Linked DNA regions of Canis lupus familiaris. The protein of the gene in region 1 interacts with the protein of each later gene in a pairwise test. Links are inferred from orthologs where the notes say so. Each region holds a gene or a part of one and is shown in the gene's direction. Other genes may lie near its edges. The genes, in order: SAXO1, STK16, FHL3 and ZMYND19.

The links.
Region 2: the proteins of SAXO1 (region 1) and STK16 interact in binary tests that used the Homo sapiens proteins (3 or more experiments, as listed by UniProt). The two-hybrid records come from large-scale screens. The link is inferred for Canis lupus familiaris from reciprocal best matches to the Homo sapiens genes SAXO1 and STK16.
Region 3: the proteins of SAXO1 (region 1) and FHL3 interact in binary tests that used the Homo sapiens proteins (3 or more experiments, as listed by UniProt). The two-hybrid records come from large-scale screens. The link is inferred for Canis lupus familiaris from reciprocal best matches to the Homo sapiens genes SAXO1 and FHL3.
Region 4: the proteins of SAXO1 (region 1) and ZMYND19 interact in binary tests that used the Homo sapiens proteins (3 or more experiments, as listed by UniProt). The two-hybrid records come from large-scale screens. The link is inferred for Canis lupus familiaris from reciprocal best matches to the Homo sapiens genes SAXO1 and ZMYND19.

What each region holds. Positions count from the first base shown.
Region 1 is NC_049232.1:38,846,485-38,850,912, reverse strand, and holds part of SAXO1 (stabilizer of axonemal microtubules 1), read left to right. Parts: intron 1-3,489; coding exon 3,490-3,692; intron 3,693-4,428. UniProt on the Homo sapiens protein: May play a role in the regulation of cilium length. Stabilizes microtubules at low temperature.
Region 2 is NC_049258.1:25,667,742-25,672,886, forward strand, and holds the start of STK16 (serine/threonine-protein kinase 16), read left to right. Parts: upstream 1-1,865; 5' UTR 1,866-1,960; intron 1,961-2,262; 5' UTR 2,263-2,366; coding exon 2,367-2,452; intron 2,453-3,041; exon of another isoform or gene 3,042-3,056; coding exon of another isoform or gene 3,057-3,065; intron 3,066-3,260; coding exon 3,261-3,480; intron 3,481-3,744; coding exon 3,745-3,878; intron 3,879-4,052; coding exon 4,053-4,173; intron 4,174-4,300; coding exon 4,301-4,396; intron 4,397-4,816; coding exon 4,817-4,938; intron 4,939-5,053; coding exon 5,054-5,145. Other genes in the region: GLB1L (beta-galactosidase-1-like protein), read right to left, coding at 73-239, 415-483. UniProt on the Homo sapiens protein: Membrane-associated protein kinase that phosphorylates on serine and threonine residues. In vitro substrates include DRG1, ENO1 and EIF4EBP1. Also autophosphorylates. May be involved in secretory vesicle trafficking or intracellular signaling.
Region 3 is NC_049236.1:4,653,340-4,658,277, forward strand, and holds the start of FHL3 (four and a half LIM domains protein 3), read left to right. Parts: upstream 1-1,453; 5' UTR 1,454-1,540; intron 1,541-4,938. UniProt on the Homo sapiens protein: Recruited by SOX15 to FOXK1 promoters where it acts as a transcriptional coactivator of FOXK1.
Region 4 is NC_049230.1:48,176,992-48,181,853, forward strand, and holds the start of ZMYND19 (zinc finger MYND domain-containing protein 19), read left to right. Parts: upstream 1-1,825; 5' UTR 1,826-1,873; coding exon 1,874-1,924; intron 1,925-3,003; coding exon 3,004-3,063; intron 3,064-4,037; coding exon 4,038-4,144; intron 4,145-4,756; coding exon 4,757-4,862. UniProt on the Homo sapiens protein: May be involved as a regulatory molecule in GPR24/MCH-R1 signaling.

The sequences.
Region 1 (4,428 bases):
CCCTGTGGGGAGCCCAATGCAGGACTCGATCACAGGACCCTGGGATCATGCCTTGAGCCAAAGGCAGACACTCAACCACTGAGCCACCCAAACATCCCACAACTCTTTTTATTTTATTTTATTTTTCACAACTCTTTTTAAAATGGATTTCATTTAATTGATTGATTAATTGGACACACTAACAAGTACTGAACTTTTTGGGGATAAACATTAATAGTTTAAAAAAAAGTATTACCTGGCCTCTTTATCACAGTGAAAATCTGCATTTCCCACTTCCAGTCTCAGGACCCTAGTTGGCCGTTACGTTATTTCTTCATTTGTCAGACTCTGGTCAAACATCTTCCTTCAGCTTCGCCTAACTCTTGGAAGTTAAGTTGTTATGACTTTCCCAGCAGGGCCACTTTAACCTTTGCTTAACTTGAAGTTTAACTCTTGGCCTTCCAGACTAATATAACTTTTATGGCTATGCATCTATAAGAGACTTAACATCTTTGACCAATTTTTTTTCTTGGTTCATAGTCGCAAGGGGTATAGGGACTAGGTAGGGAATGTAACACAGGGAGACAAGGGAGTGTTCTTAAAAAAAAAAAAAGCTACTAAATTTGAGCAATTTCTGGGAAGAATAAAATACTTTTCTCTTACATGACCTTAAAGGCTGTAAGATTATGTGAGATTGGGGACATGCAGTTATGTTGTGGTTAATGGTCGATTTCAGTGAATGTTCTCAGCATAAAAACATAATGAGGAAACATATATTCTGATCAAATTCACTCTTAAGCCACAGTAAATACTTTGGGTGGGGTATAAATGAATTACACTTTTATTTTTTAAAGAGATTTTATTTATTTACTTGACAGAGAGAGAGGGAGAAGACAAGTGGGGGGGGGGGGTGGCAGGCAGAAGAAGAGGGAGAAGCAAGCTCCCCACTCAGCAGGGACCCTTGATTCCAGGGCCCTGGGATCATAACCTGAGCCAAAGGCAGACACTTAACTGACTGAGCCATCCAGGTGCCCCATGAATTACACTTTAAATTTAAAACTTTACCACTCTAGAAATAGATCACCCCCCTACCCCGACCCCAACTCCCACAAAGATCATTTGCTTAATTTGTTGATCAGTAAATACAACCATAAGTGTACTTTCACAAAGAAACTTGAATTTTGTACCAGAAAGGGAGATTTAGTTAACAGTTTCACTTTTTAAACACAGTGAGCAAGGGTTTTGCTTTATCAGTTCTTGTCTTTGAATAACCAACTTCAGGATAGCCCACGGGGCTGGTGAGTTTGGTTGGCATTTACCTACTCTTTTCCTATGGAGATGGCAGGAAATGCATTAAGCAGGTTTTTGTTGTCATTGAGCTTGGTGGGCCTTGTAGAAAGGTTCTTACATCCTCTCTGAGGGGGAATTAGATTCCCTTACTAGCAATAATGGCAGAAAAGGAGGTCTCTGTGCGAAGGGTCCCAAAGCATGGCAGGCCTGTGACTGGAAGGCACTACTGGCCGTTTTGGGGTTGGGAGTACTCTGTAGGGCAGCTTGGACGTTCAACTCTGTTCTTCTTTGCTTGCCTTAGATATCTGTTGATAATCCTCGGAAATGAAGAGGGCTGAACCCTTGAGTTGCCATCAGCGAACACAGGTTTATATGGGGATGTGTGGTCCCAGGCTGTCTCCACCCCTTTTTGGAGTGAGGAGAGCTCACCTCTCCTTGGGAGCACACTTTCTGAGGAAGGCCACCTTGCAGCTCTGCAGCCTACGGCTGTCAGTTCCTAGTTCTCTGCTGCAACTTGTTAAGTATTAAACAGATACCAGCATGAGGCACTTGTACACTCAAAAAGAGTAGAAATATGGAACTGACCCTTGGATTCTTGTTTAGCCTGTTCCCTCCATAAGCCCCAGTTTATACAGAGTCAGCTTCCAGATGTGTCAGGTCACTCAGCTTCCTCTTGCTATTTGCCAACACGGGGCCCATGGGAAGGGAGCCCAGGCCGAAGACCCTATAACTGCTGCTGAGATATATTTTTAAATCTACTCAGAGGGAGTTACTGGGAGTTCAACTGAAGCATCTCCCATTTCCCCCTTAGAGCCCTAGAGAGACCAATTCTCCTGCTTCCTAACTCCCCCCTCCCATCCCACCAAATACTTTGGGCCCTGGTTTGGGTTTATTCACAACCACGTGTATAATTCATGCAAGACAGGTTACAGTGGAGCGTGTTACCTTTGTTAGTCAAGCATGGCTCAGTAATGCTGCTCCAGATTTTGGCAGGGAAGTAGGTTTTATTGGTGTTTGGGCCTGATGTTTTCCTGTCCGGAAACCTCCCCCTTCTCTTGGCGAGGTTGTTTTGGCAAGCACCATCAGGGAAAATCTCCCTTCCACTTGTCCAGTTGGATGAATGGGTTCCAAGCAAAAACAGGCTGTTGTGTAAATCAGAAGCCCTTGAGGGGAAATGTTTGCTTAAAAGAGTTTGCATTTGAACAGTGGGGAGTCAAGACTGCCTTGGGAGACAGTGCAAGCCCAAGCTGAGCCCTGGCTCTACCAGCATCGATGCTGGTGATAGTGCAGTTAGTAGCTTGGAATTTCTGTAACTGTAGGATGTTCTGGGAAGGGAGTACTTCTTGTCTAGTTGAAGACCATCATGCTTTTTTCTGATCTATTGTTTTCATATTCCCTGAAATAATGGGAGCACTGATACCAGAGAGCTGAGACGTGAAAGACTCTGTGTCTTCATCTATTGTGCTGCCCGCTAGGTTTTCTCTAGGATCAAGTAGAGGAAGGCAATCATTATCCACAGGAGAAGCTATTGGGAGTGCAGAAGAGGAGGTGGTAGTACCTTAAAAATAAAAGTTAGCCCCCCAGTCAAGTGACTGGGTGGGGGGGAGAAGGTGGAGAGAGCAGGCACAGACAAGAGGCCTTCTGAGTGGTTCAGTATGTTTGGAGTGGAGTGTAGGCTGGGACGGAGGTGGGAGATGAGGCTGGGGAGGAAGGCAGAGGCAGGTCCAGGAAAGCTTATATACCATGATAGAAAGTCTGGCTTTATCTGGGAGATGTTTTTCAGCTGGAGAGTAAGATGATTTCATTTTGTGATCTCTCTTCAGAGAGTTTATTCTGGCTACGTTATATGGGGATTAATGTAGAAGTGGTGGGAAATGCAGCAGGAAGTCCAGGTAGTAAATTGTCACATGATTCAAGTGAGAAATGGTCAGAGTCTGGACTGAGGGGGAAAGACAAACCAATGAGATGGAGTGGGGGCTGCACTTAGTGAGTGATTATCTGGAGCAGCAACAGGACAGGTCCAGGGTGGCATCTAGGTGTCTGACTTGGGTGAGAGGGGAATGGTGGTACCCTTTGTGAAAGTGGGAAACAGAGGAGGAAGAGCAGTTAGGGGGATAGAGTAGAAGGTGAATTCTCAGCAAACGTCTGTAGAATTGGATTAAATGGAAACCCTTAAGAGCCTTCTCCTGGGTCAATGGTGTGTATTTATTTTCCTTTTAGGAGAGATTTTGGACCTCACAAAGTGTTACCTGTGAAGATCTACCAGCCTGACAAGTTCATCCCAAGTGAAGAGAACATGGATCTGCTCACAACATATAAACAGGATTATAACCCCTACCCTGTCTGTAGAATGGGCTCCATCAAGCCTCGGGACAGTAAATATCCATGTGGTGACAAGATGGAGTGTCTGCCTACTTACAAAGGTGGGGGAGAGTGCTTGAGGGGCAGCTTGGGGAAGGATAGGCTGAGCCTGTGTGCAGGTCAGGAAATGGGTTTTACAGGCACACCCTCTGAGCACAGGGGTTGGGCAAACTGCATCCTGTGGGCCAAATCTGGTCTACAAGCCTGTTTTTTTAGAGCTGGAGAGCTAAGAATGGTTTTTAAATTTTCAAATGATTAAAAAAAAATCAGACTATTATTTTAGGAAATGTGAAAATTACATGAAATCCAAACTTCGGCATTCATAAGTACATTCTGTTGGAGCACAGCCACACTCATTTGTTTACACATTATCCATGGCTGCTTCTGTGCTATAGCAGTGAATCTGAGTGGTTGTGCTGGAGTCTGTATGGCCTTAGACATTTAATATCTGGGTCTTTTATAGAAAAGATGTGCCAACCCCTGCCTTAACTTGCTGTTGGAATTCTACATTGGGGAAGTGTTTCAAGTTTAAGTTAGGTTCCAATTCTGATTGAGTGACTGATTCATTCATCCATTTCAGAAATTATGGAAACATAATGTACATATAGGAAAACATACAGATCTTAATTTTACAGACCAGTGAATTTTGAGTGAACACATTTCTTTAAACAGTGCCTAGATCAAGAAATACAACATTGATCCCATGTAGGATAGAAGGATTATGCTAATAGGCACCATGAATTAGTTTTACCTGTTTTGTATTTCATATTAATGTGGTCAATTCATTCTTTTAAAAAA
Region 2 (5,145 bases), on another chromosome or scaffold:
AATCCCCTTTTGACGGGGGGTGGTAGGAAGAGTAAATCCCACCCTCCATGGCTTGTCCTGAGCACTGCTTACAACTGTACAGTGTTGAGGCCACTCATTCGCATCTTGAAAAGCCGGTCTGCCCAAAGCACCCGTGGTACCCGAAAGTAGTGTAGGCTGCCAGACACGTAGCGGAACGGGGCCCCATCTAGAAGGAATCTGTCATTTATCCGATCCACTATGAACGACCGATTGTCTGCCTGCAAAGAGAGAGCCCGGGGTCAGCAGAGGCCTGGAACAGAGGGAGGGGTCAGAGTCTGCAGAGGAGATGGAACTAGCCCAGCCTGTTGTTCTGTTATTTTCACTTTCTCTCCTGGGCTGGATCTCATCCCGCCTCACCACGCCCAGCCTGCCGATTCAATCCTGTCATTTTACCTGGGGCAGCAGCAGGGACAGAAGTGGCAACAGCAGGACGGGAAGGCAGAGCCGCTTCCTGGGAGCCATGGCGCTAACAGGGCTCCTCTATTCAGAGAGGGCGGTCCGGCTGTCACGTGGTGGATTCCTGGGAGGGAACCTCAGCGAGCAAGGGGGCGGAGACCACCTCAAGTCACCAGGCAATTAGCCTGGACTTGTCCACCCGCGCTACTCTACTAGTTTGTAAGATCCTCTACATCTTGAATCCGCTTCATCAGCATCACCTGGGAGCTTGTTAGAAATGCAGAGTCTCAGGTCCTACCTCAGACCTATTAGAATCAGAATTTGGATTTTAACAAGATTCCCAGGCGATCCGAAAGGCATTCAAGATTGAGAAGCACTGTGGTACTAAACTGAGCTCCCTGAGGGTGAAGAGTACCTTGTCCATCTTGCATCCTCAGCTTCTAGCACGGGACTCGGTACATAGCAGGTTAAATCTAGATGAATGAATGTCGGAACCAGGGGGCTAAAACAGGTTCGGAATCAATCTTCCCAGTGGTGTGAAAGTAGGAACCAAGTTATAAATGGGATTTTTTTTTTTTTCTCCTAGTGGCCCTGCTACAGCAAAAGAGACCACCTCAGCCATTCTGTCTTCTTTGGATGTCCACCGCTCTTCAATTTATCCCTGCCCTGCCTCAGCGAGAGCTGTCAAGAACAACTACCTGGGGCCAAGGCTTGGGAATTTATGAATTTCCATGACTCCTGCCTTCACAATCCCAAGCCTGGGATGTAAGGACCAGGATAAGAAAAATAGAATCATAATAAAAATAACAGCAACTTCTATTTATTGACACCAAGGCTGTGTCAGATAGTGTGCTAAGCACTTTACATCTCACTTCATCTTCAAAAAGCTCCGTGCAGTTGGTAATTATCACTCCCATTTTACCCATGAGGGAATTGAGAGGCAGAAATTTTAAATAGTCTGCTCAAGGTCACGCAGCTAGTTTAGCAGAGCTGGGAGCTGCAGCCTGGCCTCCCCGTACGGGCACCTAACCTTAGGTACTGTTAGAGCTTGTTTACAACTGGGGAAACCGAGGCTCTGAGAGGTTAAGTCGTCCAAGGTCACGCAGCTAGTAAGCTCTTAACCACTGAAACTAGGGTAGTGGGATGCAGGCCTGAGCCCCGAAGGGTGCACCGATCGGCGCTGTGGGGGTCCAGGCCGCCGGCCCCCGCCCGGCCCCCGCCCCTCGGGGCTGGACTGCAGCTTCCTACCTCCGGCATTGGGAGACGGGGGGCCTGGGGGGCCTCGGGCCGAGCCCGGCTTTGCTCCCCTTGGGCGCGGGTGCCTGCGTCCTGCCCACTACTGAAGGCCTGGTGTGGAACCCTCACCGGGTCCCGGGACCCGTGCTCCCCCGCGCCTTAGCCCGCCCCCGGCCTCTCAGCTCCGCGCCCCCACATCCTCCGGATGCCCTGCGGTTGCTAGGATACCGCGGGCCGTTACGCCGGCGCGGCCTGATGACGTAGACGCTCCTTCCGGTCCGCGGCGCTCGTCTCCGGCCGGAGCCAGGTCAGTGGGGAGTCGGGGCCGGCCCTCCCGGGGCTCTGCGCGCCGAGGCCGGGGCGGGCCCCGCCGGGTGGGCCCGGGCCTCGCCCCCACGCTCCGCGGCTGCCGAGGCGGCCCGACGGCGAGGACGCGGCCTGGGCGTCGCGGCGTGGCCCGAGGCTCCAGGGCACCCGACCTCGGCCGTGCCCGAGCCGGCGTCGCCAAGGCTCGTTTCCTCTGCGTTCCGAGGCCCGGGCGCCAGCTCTGCACGTCGGCACTTCGGGGGTCGTGCCTGGCCCACGACCCTGCCGTCCTTTGCCTTCCAGCATGATCCGCGGGGCCCCCAGCGCGTCGCCTGGAAGAGCCCCCTCAGCCCGCACGCGGCCGTCGGCAGCCCCGGACCGCCCCTGAGGAGGATGACTGAGGCGCTATGGGCCACGCGCTGTGTGTCTGCTCCCGGGGAACCGTCCTCATTGACAACAAGCGCTACCTCTTCATCCAGAAACTGGGGGAGGGGTGAGTGTTGAAATCGCCTAGCCAGCCCCCAGGGTTCTGGTGAGTGAAGGACAGCAGTCTGCACGTGATAGGGCCTCAGGAGGTTCATCCTTGTAAAGCATCCTTTAGCTCCCCTGACAGAGCCTAGCAACCCGAATGCCAAGAAAGTGGATTCTGGAGCCAGGCCTCCTGGCTCCACCTGGTGTGACCTTAAGCCGTGGTTTCATCATCTGCTTAATGGAGATAATCATCTTTTTTTTTTTTTTTTTAAGATTTTATTTATTAGAGACACACACACACGCACATGCACAGGCAGAGGGAGAAGCAGGCCCCATGCAGGGAGCCCGATGCGGGACTCGATCCTGGGTCTCCAGGGTCAGGCCCTGGGCTGAAGGCTGCGCTAAACCGCTGGGCCACCCGGGCTGCCCTGGAGATAATTATCTTTTGTCGCTGATGGAGTTGTGAGGATTAAATGAGATAGTGCATAGAAATCATCTCACCAAAAAGAGAAAAAATAATAATAATAATCTCACCCAGGGCCCGGTTCACAGCACTTGACAGATGTTGACTGTTACTTACTCATGTAACATTTCCGGAGCATTTGTCACGTGCAGAGCTGTGCATTATGACCAAGGTACCTCAAAGATTGCTGTGTTCCTACCCTTGAGCTCAAAGTGTAAAATCTTCAGACTTCTCCTGAAGCCACGTCTTGGGAGGGTTTCTGCTGACTGGGAAAGACACCCCCTCCCCTCCCCACCCAGGGAGTTCCTCTGGGTCCAAGCAGTGTGGGAGATGACCGTGGTCCTTCACTGACCCCTTTGGCCCACAGTGGGTTCAGCTATGTGGACCTAGTGGAGGGGTTACATGATGGACACTTCTACGCCCTGAAGCGGATCCTGTGTCACGAGCAGCAGGATCGGGAGGAAGCCCAACGAGAAGCAGACATGCATCGCCTCTTCCATCACCCCAACATCCTCCGCCTTGTGGCTTATTGTCTGAGGGAGCGGGGCACTAAACATGAGGCCTGGCTGCTGCTACCCTTCTTCAAGGTCAGAAAGTCTCCTGGCAATGGAGGGGCTTGCAACAGAGTCATCTACCGAGGGCTGTGTGAGTAGCCAAGCACGTTAGGAAGCAGAGACCATGTCCTGTGTTGGACCGCTTCAGATTTGGGGTTTAGGGGAACCCAAGTGGGACTGTGAGGTGTGTAGTGTGTGTGGTGAAAGAGCTGCTAGGCTGTGACACAGGGAAGGGATCAGGCTGAGGGAGCAGAGACCCAGAAAACCTGTCCAACCGTGGGGAAACTTGTGTTGCAGAGGGGTACGCTGTGGAACGAGATAGAAAGGCTGAAGGACAAAGGCAACTTCTTGACTGAAGATCAAATCCTTCAGCTGCTGCTGGGTATCTGCAGAGGCCTTGAGGCCATTCATGCCAGAGGTTATGCCCACAGGTCAGTGGGAGGGCCCAGTGTGCTTATGGGGCAGAAAGAAAGAGCCTCACCAAAAGGATTGAGTGGTCTCTGCTCTCCTCCCAAGGAACAGTCCCCATGATTCTTTTGCCCCCAGGGATTCTAGTCTCCCTATCCAGGGATGTTCATGGGCCATTTATTTCCACTTTCCTGCAGGGACCTGAAGCCCACCAATATCTTGCTTGGAGATGAGGGGCAGCCAGTTTTAATGGACTTGGGTTCCATGAATCAAGCTTGCATCCATGTGGAAGGCTCCCGCCAGGCTCTGGCCCTGCAGGTAAAAGAGTGTCCAGGTTCCTTTGCCCTCCTGTTCCCCATCCTCAGCCTTTCCTGTTGCATGCCCCAGTTTGGTCACATGACTATGACCTGTGCCTCTCTTTTGAGCTATGGGGCCACTCTTCCAGGACTGGGCAGCCCAGCGATGCACCATCTCCTACCGCGCCCCAGAGCTCTTCTCCGTGCAGAGCCACTGTGTCATTGATGAGCGGACTGATGTCTGGGTGAGGAGCATGTGGGGGGGCACATGGATGGGGAGGAGTACCGCTCTGTACCTGCTGTGCAGCAGAGGGGCAGGTCTTTGGTTTCGATTGCATGGGGCCCCAGGAACCGTGTATGTCCCCATCCCCCTCGACTTCCTTCCTGGGAACCGTCACTGACACTGTACTCAATTGCTCAGGAAGTGGTATCATTCCTCCCTTTGAACAGAATGAGTACAGCTAAGTGTCAGGACTGAAGGCAGTGGCAAGCAGGGGGTGCAGAAGCCTCCAGCTAGCTGGTGCTTTCTCTGGACCCTGGTGGTGTCATGGGGCTGAGGTCAGCCTATTCTTATTAGCTTATGTAGTCACCTTTCACTACAGAGTCCAGAGGAAAGAGATCATTTCTATTGGTCCCTTGTCAAGTAATAACCAAGTTATGTTCAGTCCCTAGGCTGCGTGCTGTATGCCATGATGTTTGGGGAAGGCCCATATGACATGGTGTTCCAGAAGGGTGACAGTGTGGCCCTTGCTGTGCAGAACCAACTCAGCATCCCGCAGAGCCCCAGGTGAGCAATAAAAGGGGTACGAAACACTTCAGACTCCTCACTGGCATTAGTGGAGTTAGAACCGTAGCATGGGGAATGAGGACCCTCCAGTCACCCTGCCCGCCTCCTTCCACAGGCATTCTTCAACCTTGCGGCAGCTGCTGGCCTCAATGATGACTGTAGACCCCCAGGAGCGCCCTCCCATCTCTCTCCTCCTCAGTCAGTTGG
Region 3 (4,938 bases), on another chromosome or scaffold:
TTATTATATGGCAGACATAGGAGTAGGTACTGGGAATGTGGTAGTGAACAAGAAGAACCCAGTCCTGCCCTCATGGCCTCATGACAATCTAGGCATTAGGAACAATAACCAAGCAAATAGTTTAATTTGGGGAGGAAACCTGGCCTCGACGGTGACTTGGGATCCGGGAAGACAGGAATATGATTTAGAGATGGGAGAGGAAGGTATTCAGGAGGCCTGGCCTGGGAGCAAATGAGTCTCTGTTCTGAGAGCTTGGCTAGACCCAGCCTGGGGGATGGGAGAAGCCCTGTGGCACCTGAGTCTCTACTCTAGATGCTGAGGTTATTTCTAGAGTCAGTTTGTTGTCTCCTGTTTTGCAAACAGTACAGCACAGCCTCCTCCTCCCTTCCCCACCCTTCTAGATCGAGGCTATTTATGCCTAGTGACAAGCCTGAGGATCCCAGGGGGATTGGCCCAAGGACCTGGAGGGGCCTTGTGTCCCTGGCAGGCAGCAGTCCTCCCTCCTGGGGCGCAGGGAGAAAGCCAGAGGATTGGAAACTGTAGAGGTGGGGGAGGAAGGGTTCCCTCCACTTCCCTCCACCAACCCTGCGGTGCCCCATCCGCGCACACTCTTCACACCCCTCCCTGAGAAACCCAAAAACCATGGGGCCAAGGATTAGGGTCTCCCCTGGGCCTCAAAGGTCATAACTATTCCTGGGCACTGTGGAAACCCAAGGCCGAACTTCTCTGTCCCAGGGTGCCTCCGGAGGTGAGGAGGTGGGGGGTACTTCTGTTTTTGCCACTCAAAAGTTGTGAAATCATTGAAGGTCAAGGCCCAGTCTGGGGTCAGGCGGAGGCGGAGGTGGGGGGGTCCCTTCTTCACTCCCTGTTTCCAGAGAACACCTTGGTTCCCATTGATAGGGAGGGCCGTGACAGCAGAGTCAAGCCACCTCACACACACACACTCCCGGGCCTCCAGGCTTGATTAAGGCCCCTTTACAAGCTGGGTCTAGGTGTGACCCTGAGGGGATGAGCTGGAAGGTGGGAGTGGGGGCGCACGAAGAGGCCATGAGTGAGGACCCCAGGGGACTTGGGTGGGCTGGGTGCCGGCCCCCGTGCTGGAGATCGAGTGCAGCAGGCCGTCTCCAGCGGGCTGCTGGGGGGTGCAGGGGGTGCAGCAGGGGAGGGGACGGCGGAGGCGAGCAGGGGACGGGGGCGGGGTCCCGGCGCCGGGGAAGGTCGGGCGAGCCAGGTTAGACCCGCGGGCCCGAGGGGGGGTGTGGGCGGGGTCTGGCCCCCGGCCTGGGGGTGCGGGGCGGGGGCGGCCGGGGGCGGGGTCCGGGCGGGGCGGGCCCGGCGCGCACTTCCTCGGGGAGGGGTTGGGGCCGCGCTCCACTCGCCCGCTGGGTCCGTGCGCTCCGGCAGCGCCGCCGGCCGCCCGCTCGCCCCGCTCGCCCCGCTCGCCCCGCCCGCCCCGCCCGGCCCCGCTCGCCCGGCCCGCAGGTACGAGCCACCGAGGGACGCGCGGCCCGGCCTCCCCGCTCCCGCCGCCCGCTCCGAGGTGAGCTCCCGCCCAGGCCGGCTCCTCGCCCGGGGCCCCCCGACGCCCCGGGGGGCGCGCTTGGAGCGGGGGGCGCCGAGCCCCGGAGGGCGCCCCCCCACCCCCGGGACCGCCCCGATCCCGGCCGCCCGGCGGGGTGGGGGGGGCTGCTCGACACCTGGGGATGGGGGGGGAAGGGGCCAAGTTTGAAACGGAGAAGCCAGAGTCGAGCGCGGGACCTGGAGGGTTGGGGAAACTGAGGCTCCCTGAAAGCCGGGCGGAGCCAGACCAAGACGCGGGCCCGCGCGGCAGGCTTGGACAGGGGGCTGCACGGGGACCCGAGTCAGGGAGTCAGGGACAGGTTCTGGGGGCGTAGAGTCCCCGAGAGGGAGACCGGAGGCGTCTGGACGGACCTAGGTTTTGTGGGTTGGAGCACTCGAAGGAGAAGCGTCCCCTGACCCCGGTGAACACGGAGCAGCGCCCTTCCCAGGGCTTTGCAGGGTCCCGGGCGGTGAGGGGCCCCGAAGCCTAAGCTTCCTTAGCCCTGTGGCAGATCAGCCTCTGTGAGGCCTATGGAGCCGTCCAGAAACTGCAGACAGGGACGCTCAGGAACAGAGGTGCTCCGAGGAGGAAGCGAAGGGGTCGGGGTGGGAACCCCTTGGAGGCACTCAGTTACGGAGATTTGGGTGTACAGAGGTAGAAATGAGCAGAGGTCACTAGCCCGGGACACAGGTCCCCAAAACACGAAGACAGCTGAGGTGTGCAGAGGCTCAGTCGCGCTGCGTGGGGCGCAGCTGGCTTTGCTCGAGGCGCCCTGACAGCTTCCCAGACAGACCCCGAGACACGGAGGCCTGAGAAAGACTGGGAAGCAGGGGTGCGGGGAAACAGAGACTCTGGGCCAGCCAGAGCCCCGTGAGGCAAGGACCTGAGACAGGCACGTCGGAAAGGAGCCCCAGGCACACACCAAGACAGCCCCAACTTATTTTTAAACTCAAATCATGGACATGCTGCTTCAGCCCTGGGGGACCCGGGGTGAATGAACTGTTCCTCTCCTGTCCCCAAGGCAGCTGCTGGATCCCGCTTCCCGCCCTCCTTCCCCTAAACTGCTCTGACTCCCAGGCCCCATGGCGGGGAGGGGTGGGGAGAGGGAGAGTTTGGGGTTGGTGCCTGATACCGGAGGTTGGGGGCTGGGGGGGGTTAGGTTTCTCCCCTTAAATCTCCTGTCAGTTCCTGGGAGCTGGGAGGAGGGGTCTGATCTGATCCTGACTCACAGCTGTGAGGCCTGGCCAGGGTCCTCCCCGACAGTGCAGGGTGGATGGGGGCAAAGGAGTTGAACGGTTGGCATGGGCAGTTGGAAAGGCTTCTGGGTGCCTTCCAATGGCAGGGTTAGCAGCTGGGGGAGAAGAGTGAGACTCCTGTGCTAGTGATGTCACCGAGTATCTCCCACACCCCTGCTCTTAAAATGTTGACCACCCCGTTTTGCCACCGCTGCAGCATTTTTAGAGAGAAAAACAGGAAAGGGCTCCAGGCTGGGAAGCAGGGAACCTGGGCTCTCCGAGGCCTGAGTGACCTTGGGCCTGGCTTGTCCCTGTGCTCGACTGTAAGATGGGAATGACATGCTCTTCTGCCTGCCTTTTGGGAGATCTGGTGAAATAGTGGATGGGATTTCTCTTTATGGGAGGCCAAGCAGCATGCAGGTGTGTACACCTGTGTACCTGTGTGAGGGGTCTCAGGAGTTATGCTCATTGGCACCAGGCCGGCCCCACTGATCTCCTCAGGCAGCCCCACGGCCTGGGCTTCTTCACTTCCCCTAGTGGAACTGGGGAGTGGGGGTGGGGGTCCCTCTTTGGTCTATCCCTGAATCTACCCTGAGAATGTCCAGGTCAAAACCCAGGCCAGCTCCCTGAGCCAGGCCTGGCTCAGAAATTTGTCTGACCCCCGTATGAGTGAGGGGCTGATCATAAAAACGCCCACAGCTACCATTCACTGAGGAGTCCCTTTCTGCCAGGTGCTTTCCAAGCACCACCATTTCAGCCTGACGACAACCCCGGGAGAAGGGGGTAGGCGTAGAGGAAAACAGGCCCAGGAACCTTAAGTGACTTGCCCAAGATCACCCAGCTAGTAAGGGAAGAAGTCAGGATGCCCACCCCAAGCCACATTTGGGCCTACTATACACTGTGCCACAGCCATTTATCTAGCCATTCTAACCTCTGGGAGGCTCACTGGAAGGTGCCAGATGTGTGTGTCAGGTGTAGGGGTGGTGTGTGTGTGAGTGTGTGTTTGTGTGTGTGTTGAGGACAAGAGTTGAGAGCCATTTGGCAGACTGAGCAGTCTCCTCCGTAACCCCCCCTCCCCAGGCCATGAGGGAATATAAGACTGGTTCTCTTCAGTTCTCTTGCTGTGCCAGGGAAAGTGGGAGGGAGGGGAGGAAGGGGGATGGGCAGGGACAGGTGGGTCTCCATAGTGCCCTTCACTCTGTCCTCATTAGAGCCCAGCTGGACAAACTAGGGGACTGGGGGATTCTGGGAAAGAAACAGAAGCCATGCCCATACCCTATTTGGGGTGCCCCTGTTTCAGAGTGATGACTGCCTCCCAGAGGGTGGCCCCAGGGCTACCCTGGGCCCGGGAAGGTGATGGCTGCTGTGTGCCAAGCCAGAAAGGAAGGAAAAGATTTGGGGCACTCCCCAACGGACCACGGCCACACACTCCACCTGTGTGGCCCCCTGCTGCCCAGTGGCCCACAGCCCAGGCAACCCTCAGATGTTGGGCCAGAGGAAACCCAGGCCTGATTGGCGGGGAGCGGATGGAGAAAGAGGGCTGCCCTCTACCCCACAGCATAGCCCTGCCCCAGAATCACCTCTCTGAAGACCCCAGCCCCTGGAGGCCTCGTGGCCTGGCCCGGGATCGGAACTCTGTGTTCCCCCCACTCCGTGGTACAGAAGGGCAGCTTGGAGTTCACAAACCATCCCTTCAAGAGCCAGGCCCTCCAGGCTTGGGGCGTTTGCTGGCGCCTGGAGTCTGAACTCCAAGCCAGAGCAACGCTTCTTGGCCAGAATTTCCCACTGGGGGTGGCTGAGAAAAGGAGCACTTTTCCATCAACCCGAGCCTGGGCAGGCTCCGGGGACTGCCAGTTACTGGGGTGTGTGTGGGGGGGGAGGTAGTGAGCTGGTGGGTTCCTTTGTCCTCTCCAGGCTCCTCTGCAGCTGTGAGAACATCCCCTTCCTAGGAGTCTTGGTGGTTCCTCTCCACCCTCCCTGGGATCCCAGCCCTTAGAGAGCAGGCTTCATGACGAAGGAGGCTGGGGGTGGGAGCTCTGAATCTGGGGCCAGAAACTGGAGTCAGGGGCAGCAGAAGGGACTGGGAACCCCACTTCCCTGCCCCCCCCCCCCCAGTCCCCTTGCTCCTGTTCCAGAGGCAGC
Region 4 (4,862 bases), on another chromosome or scaffold:
CTCCTGGTTTTCTTTTTTTTTTCTCCTGGTTTTCCTCTTACCTGACACCTCTCTCTTTTCATGGTCTGCTCCTCCTTTCAGCCTCTCTTTCCCCTTAATAAGGGAGTATCCATCCAGGCTGTCTTTGACTTCTCTTCGCTGTCTGCATTTTCTTCTGATGTGATCTCATCCAGTTGGCTTTTAAACAAGTGTGCTAATGAATGCCAAATTTATACCCCAGGCTGGACTGCTCCCTTGAACTCTATCCTCATACAGTCAACTGCTTGGCAGCCTGAATGCGTAGCATGAACAAGAAATTCATGTTTATTTTGCTAAGCTGCTGAGAACATAGGATTGTTACTGAAGCATAAACAGGTTTAAGCGGACTGTTACAGAAGACTGGCCCCGCACGTCCAAACACCACCATCACCCCCTGACTAGCTGCTGTATTCACTGGCTCCACAGCCTTCCTGCTTCCAGTCTTCCCCCTAAACTACTGTACCCCTCAGCCAGCCTGGCTCATGGAAAAGCTGCTCTATTCAAATTCTCCAACCGCCTCCCTTTGCTAAGTATAGAAATCAACGTTCTTCTAAGAGCCTACTAACCACCACCCTTGGCTCCCACATCTCTAATCTTCAGCCCTGTTCCTGTCCTGAACTCCTGTCTGGTCACAGCGGACAATCCCACTTTTCCCAACATCCCAGCCCAGGGCCCTGTGGCCAGCTCTTCCCCCAGATGCCCACATGGTGCTCTCTCCACTCCTTACACTGTTCAAGTCCATGAGTCAATGGGGCAGAGCCTGCCCACCACCTTCCTTAGGCCCCTAGCCTCCTAATGCTGCTCTCCTGGTTTCCCCCACTGCCTTTATCACTCATCACGGGCCGTTCTGATTTGCACTCCCGGGTACTTTCAGTGGGAGTGCGGGCGGCGGGGTGGTTGCTAGGTAACAAGGGCGGCGGCCCCCGAGTGTCCTCCCGCCCCGAGCGCCCTCCAGCCTTCAGGTCCTCCCGCCCTAAGCGCCCAGCAGGAGCGAGCGGAGGGCAGAGCGGCCGCGGGCCCATCACCGCAGCCCGGTTCACGGCCCGACCCGCGGGGAAGGCGGCGGCGGCCCGAGCGCAGGCAGTGCGGGGGAGACGGGCCCCGTTGGCACAGGGGCGGTGTCCAGGGAGGGAGTAGGGCGGCCCGCGCCCCTCGCCCCTCGCCCCTCGCCCGCCGTCCCGCGGGTGCGGAGCCGTTTACCGGGAGCCGCAGCGAGTTCCGCAGGACCCTTCGGGCCGCCCCTCCGCGAGGGGGCGGCGCGTGGGTTCGGGGGCCAGGGGCAGGGCCGCGGCCGGGCGTTGGGGCCGGCGCCCGGCCTGAGCCGAGGGCGGCCAGCGGGGAGCAAGACGCCGCAGCGCGGCCGCCAGCACAAAGCTTCCCGCGAAACTGACGTAGCGCGGGGCGGCCGCGCAAGCGCCGCCCTCGGCCGCGCCCCTCCCCCGCGCTCCCACTGCTCCTCAGTGCGCCGGCGTACTTCCCCTCCTCCCATTGGCCACGGCGCGGCGGCGCGCGCAGGCCGGCGCGGGGCGCACCCCGCGATTGGCGGGTCGGCGGCGGGCGGGGGTGTGTCCGCGTCGCACCCCGCCTCCGGCTCCGCTCGCGGTGGTGCGCGCGGCGGCGGCGGCGGCGGCGGTGGCGGCGTCGGCGGCGGTGGCGCGTGGCAGGTCCGGCGGGCCCGAGGCGGCGGCGGCCCGAGCCCGGCCCAGCCTCGTCCCGCCTGGCCCCGACCCCGGCCCGCCGGCCCGGCCCACCCGGCGCGCCGCGGCGCCGCCCCGGCCCGGCCCCGGCCCCGGTCCCGGTCCCGGCCCGGCGCCTCCCGAGGGAGCGGCGCCGCCGGCCGAGCGCAGGCCTGGCCATGACCGACTTCAAATTGGGTATCGTGCGGCTCGGCCGGGTGGCCGGGAAGGTGAGCGGCGCGGGGGCCGCGGGGCCGCGGGGCCGCGGGGCCGGGACGCTGGGCTGGGGCCGTGGGGTCGGGGGCTGCGGAGCCGGGCGGGCGGGCGGGCGGGCGAAGGGTCCCCGCGGGCAGCACAGCGCCCTTCCGAGGCGGCAGGACGGTGTGCGTGCGTGTCGGCGCCCGCCAGCCCGTCGTGGAGCCTCGCGCGGGGTTCACGCTGCCGGCGCTGGCCGAGTGCGGACGGGCCTCGATGGGCCTCCCGGAGCAGGGCCTCCCTCTGCTTCTCTCCCTTACCTGGCCCCGCCCTCCGCGGGTTCGAGGCCGGGGCTTCCTGGCACCTGTGGGCATTGAGGCTTGGCTGTTTCCAGGAGCCGGCCGGCCGTGCAGCTGCTCCAGCCACGGACCTTACCCTGGATGGGAACCCTGTTCCCATCCCCAGCGGCGGCAGCTCCTGGTGGGAGACAGGAGCAGAGGCAGTCAGATGAAGGTAAAACCGACTTAGATCTTAGAAGGAGGCTCCCCGAGCAAGAATGAGACTAGTCCGTTTGGGGGGCCGTTTCCTGCCTTTCCTGCAAGAGGAATGTGGCTTTTTACCTGGGGAAGGGTGGGCTCCCCATCGGCTCTGAGACCTTTTCTTATTCAGTGACTGGTTGCATTCAGATCATCCTTTAAAACTTATTTGGAACATTTCAGAAGAAAGCTAAACAGTTCAGTGAGCACCTGTGTACTGCCACCCATCCTAATAAATAAATGTTTTCGAGGCCTTCTGTATGCCTTGTCTCACTCCAGGGCCCCTCCTCTGTTCCGAGGAAGCCCCAGTCTCAAATGAGGGTCAGCAGCACCTGAAACACAGCTTAGAGGTTAGCCAGTCCAGGGGCACTTAGGGCTTAGGCGCGTATGGATGGGAAGTGAAGCCTGATTCCTACTCCTCTGGGACAGTCTGGAGTGGGAAATGACCACCTGCCTTGGGGGTAGGGTACTTGGTGCCCCTCACCTGCTAGCCTCATTTAACCTGAAGGGGCGGTTTCTGTTACTAAAACTTTACTGTGACCCTGAATGTAACATTGCGAAACGTGGTTAATTTCCAGACGAAGTACACACTGATAGATGAGCAAGATATCCCGCTGGTGGAGGGCTACTCCTTTGAGGTAAGGATGGCTGTTTCTCTGTGGGCCTGCTTTCAGCCAATGCTTGAGGAGGGTCAGGAGGAATGGGTTTTACCCTGTGTTGTTGGTTCTCTCCCACTTTCACCCTGGTGCAAGTAGATCACATTGTGTCGTGTTTGTGATGATGTTCAGTTGGATAAGCCCTGGCTCCCTAGGGGACTGTCCAAGTGCCACCTCATGTTTCTTCTGGCCTTGGCCCAGCGTTCCTCCATCCCCCATCTTCCTGAGCTCCCTTGCCTTCCACTCTTCTCTGTGGGATGAGCTTCTGTTCACCTGCCCATCCTCACCTACCGGCTCCTCCACTTCAGAAATCCTTGAGGGCTCTGTGGACCCACTATGCTTTATCTCAGCCCTTCGTGTTTTTACAGAAAGGGTGGCCCTTGAACAAGAGTTTGAACTGCACAGGTTAACTTAGATGTGGGGGGGGTTTTGATAAACATAGTCTATTACTGTAAATATATTTCATCATGACTTCTTTGAAAACGTTTTCTTTAAGAATATAGCATACGATATGTCTCACATACAAAGTTTGTGTTAATCACTTGTTTGCCTCAGTAAGGTTTCTGGTCCAGAGCAAGCTATCAGTGAAGTCTCCGGAAGTTAAAAGTCCTATGCGGATTTTCACCTGTGTGGGGGCTCTGTACCTTACCCTACGTGTTCAGGGCTTAGCTATTAGTTACTTGTTCAAGGGTTTGTTTTTCTCACTGAATTGTGGGCATTTTCTAAGAGTAGGAAAACTTGTCTCTTTATGTCTACAGTGTTTTGCAGAGTGGTTTGTGGAGTATGTTGGGATACAGGGCTGGCTTCTCATGTCTGGGAGCCTCTGCAAAGCCCGGGGTCCCAGAAAGAGGCCTCATATATTTGCTCTAACTTGTTTGTTTCACTTCACTTCTTTAATAAAGTTTGAAAATGTAGCTGAGACCTGAAGGCTTTTTAACAGACCATTTCTCTCTCAGGCCCGGATGGAAGTAGATGCAGATGGAAATGGTGCTAAGATATTCGCATATGCCTTTGACAAAAACCGAGGAAGAGGGTCAGGAAGGCTCCTTCACGAGCTGCTGTGGTAGGTGTTTATGAGCTGCTTGTTCCTCATTTGGGTACTGCATGCAGCAACCTGTCCCTGTTGACAGAGGATGTGTTATCGGAGTCATGCTCCCCCCACCACCCCTCTTGTTACCTTTGAATCATTGCCGCTAACCCAGAGGAATGGCTCATTTGTATAGCGTACCACTAATGGAGCAGTCTAAAAGTGCACTTTCTGCTCAGGCACTTGTACCGGGCATGGCTCTCTCTCTGGGGTAGGGAGGACTCTGCTCCGTCCACTGTGTTCTTGCTGAGCCTGTTGGTGGGATGTGAGGAATGGCCTGCCTCCTCGTGGCGTCCACGGTGGAACTGCTGCTTGGAACTGCTCAGATGGGGTGTTCTCTAGGCTGTGTGTTTGATGGTTGGGGGCTCCATCCTTGGCTTTTTGCAGCCCAGCTCTCAAATCAAGGGGCTGAACTGTTAGCATGGTCCATCTTGTTTGACCACAGACTGACTGACATACTTGGATTCCTCTCAGCAGCCTTGTTCCTGACGCTCTCTGTCAGTGTGGCGAAGGGCCAGTTCAGATCCCACAGCTGAAGTATTTAGGGAGGCCTGAGGTGGCCGATTGCAAGACTTGTCTGTTTCCTAGGGAGCGGCACAGGGGAGGCATTGCTCCCGGCTTTCAGGTGGTACATCTCAATGCTGTGACTGTGGACAACCGCCTGGACAACCTGCAGCTGGTGCCATGGGGCTGG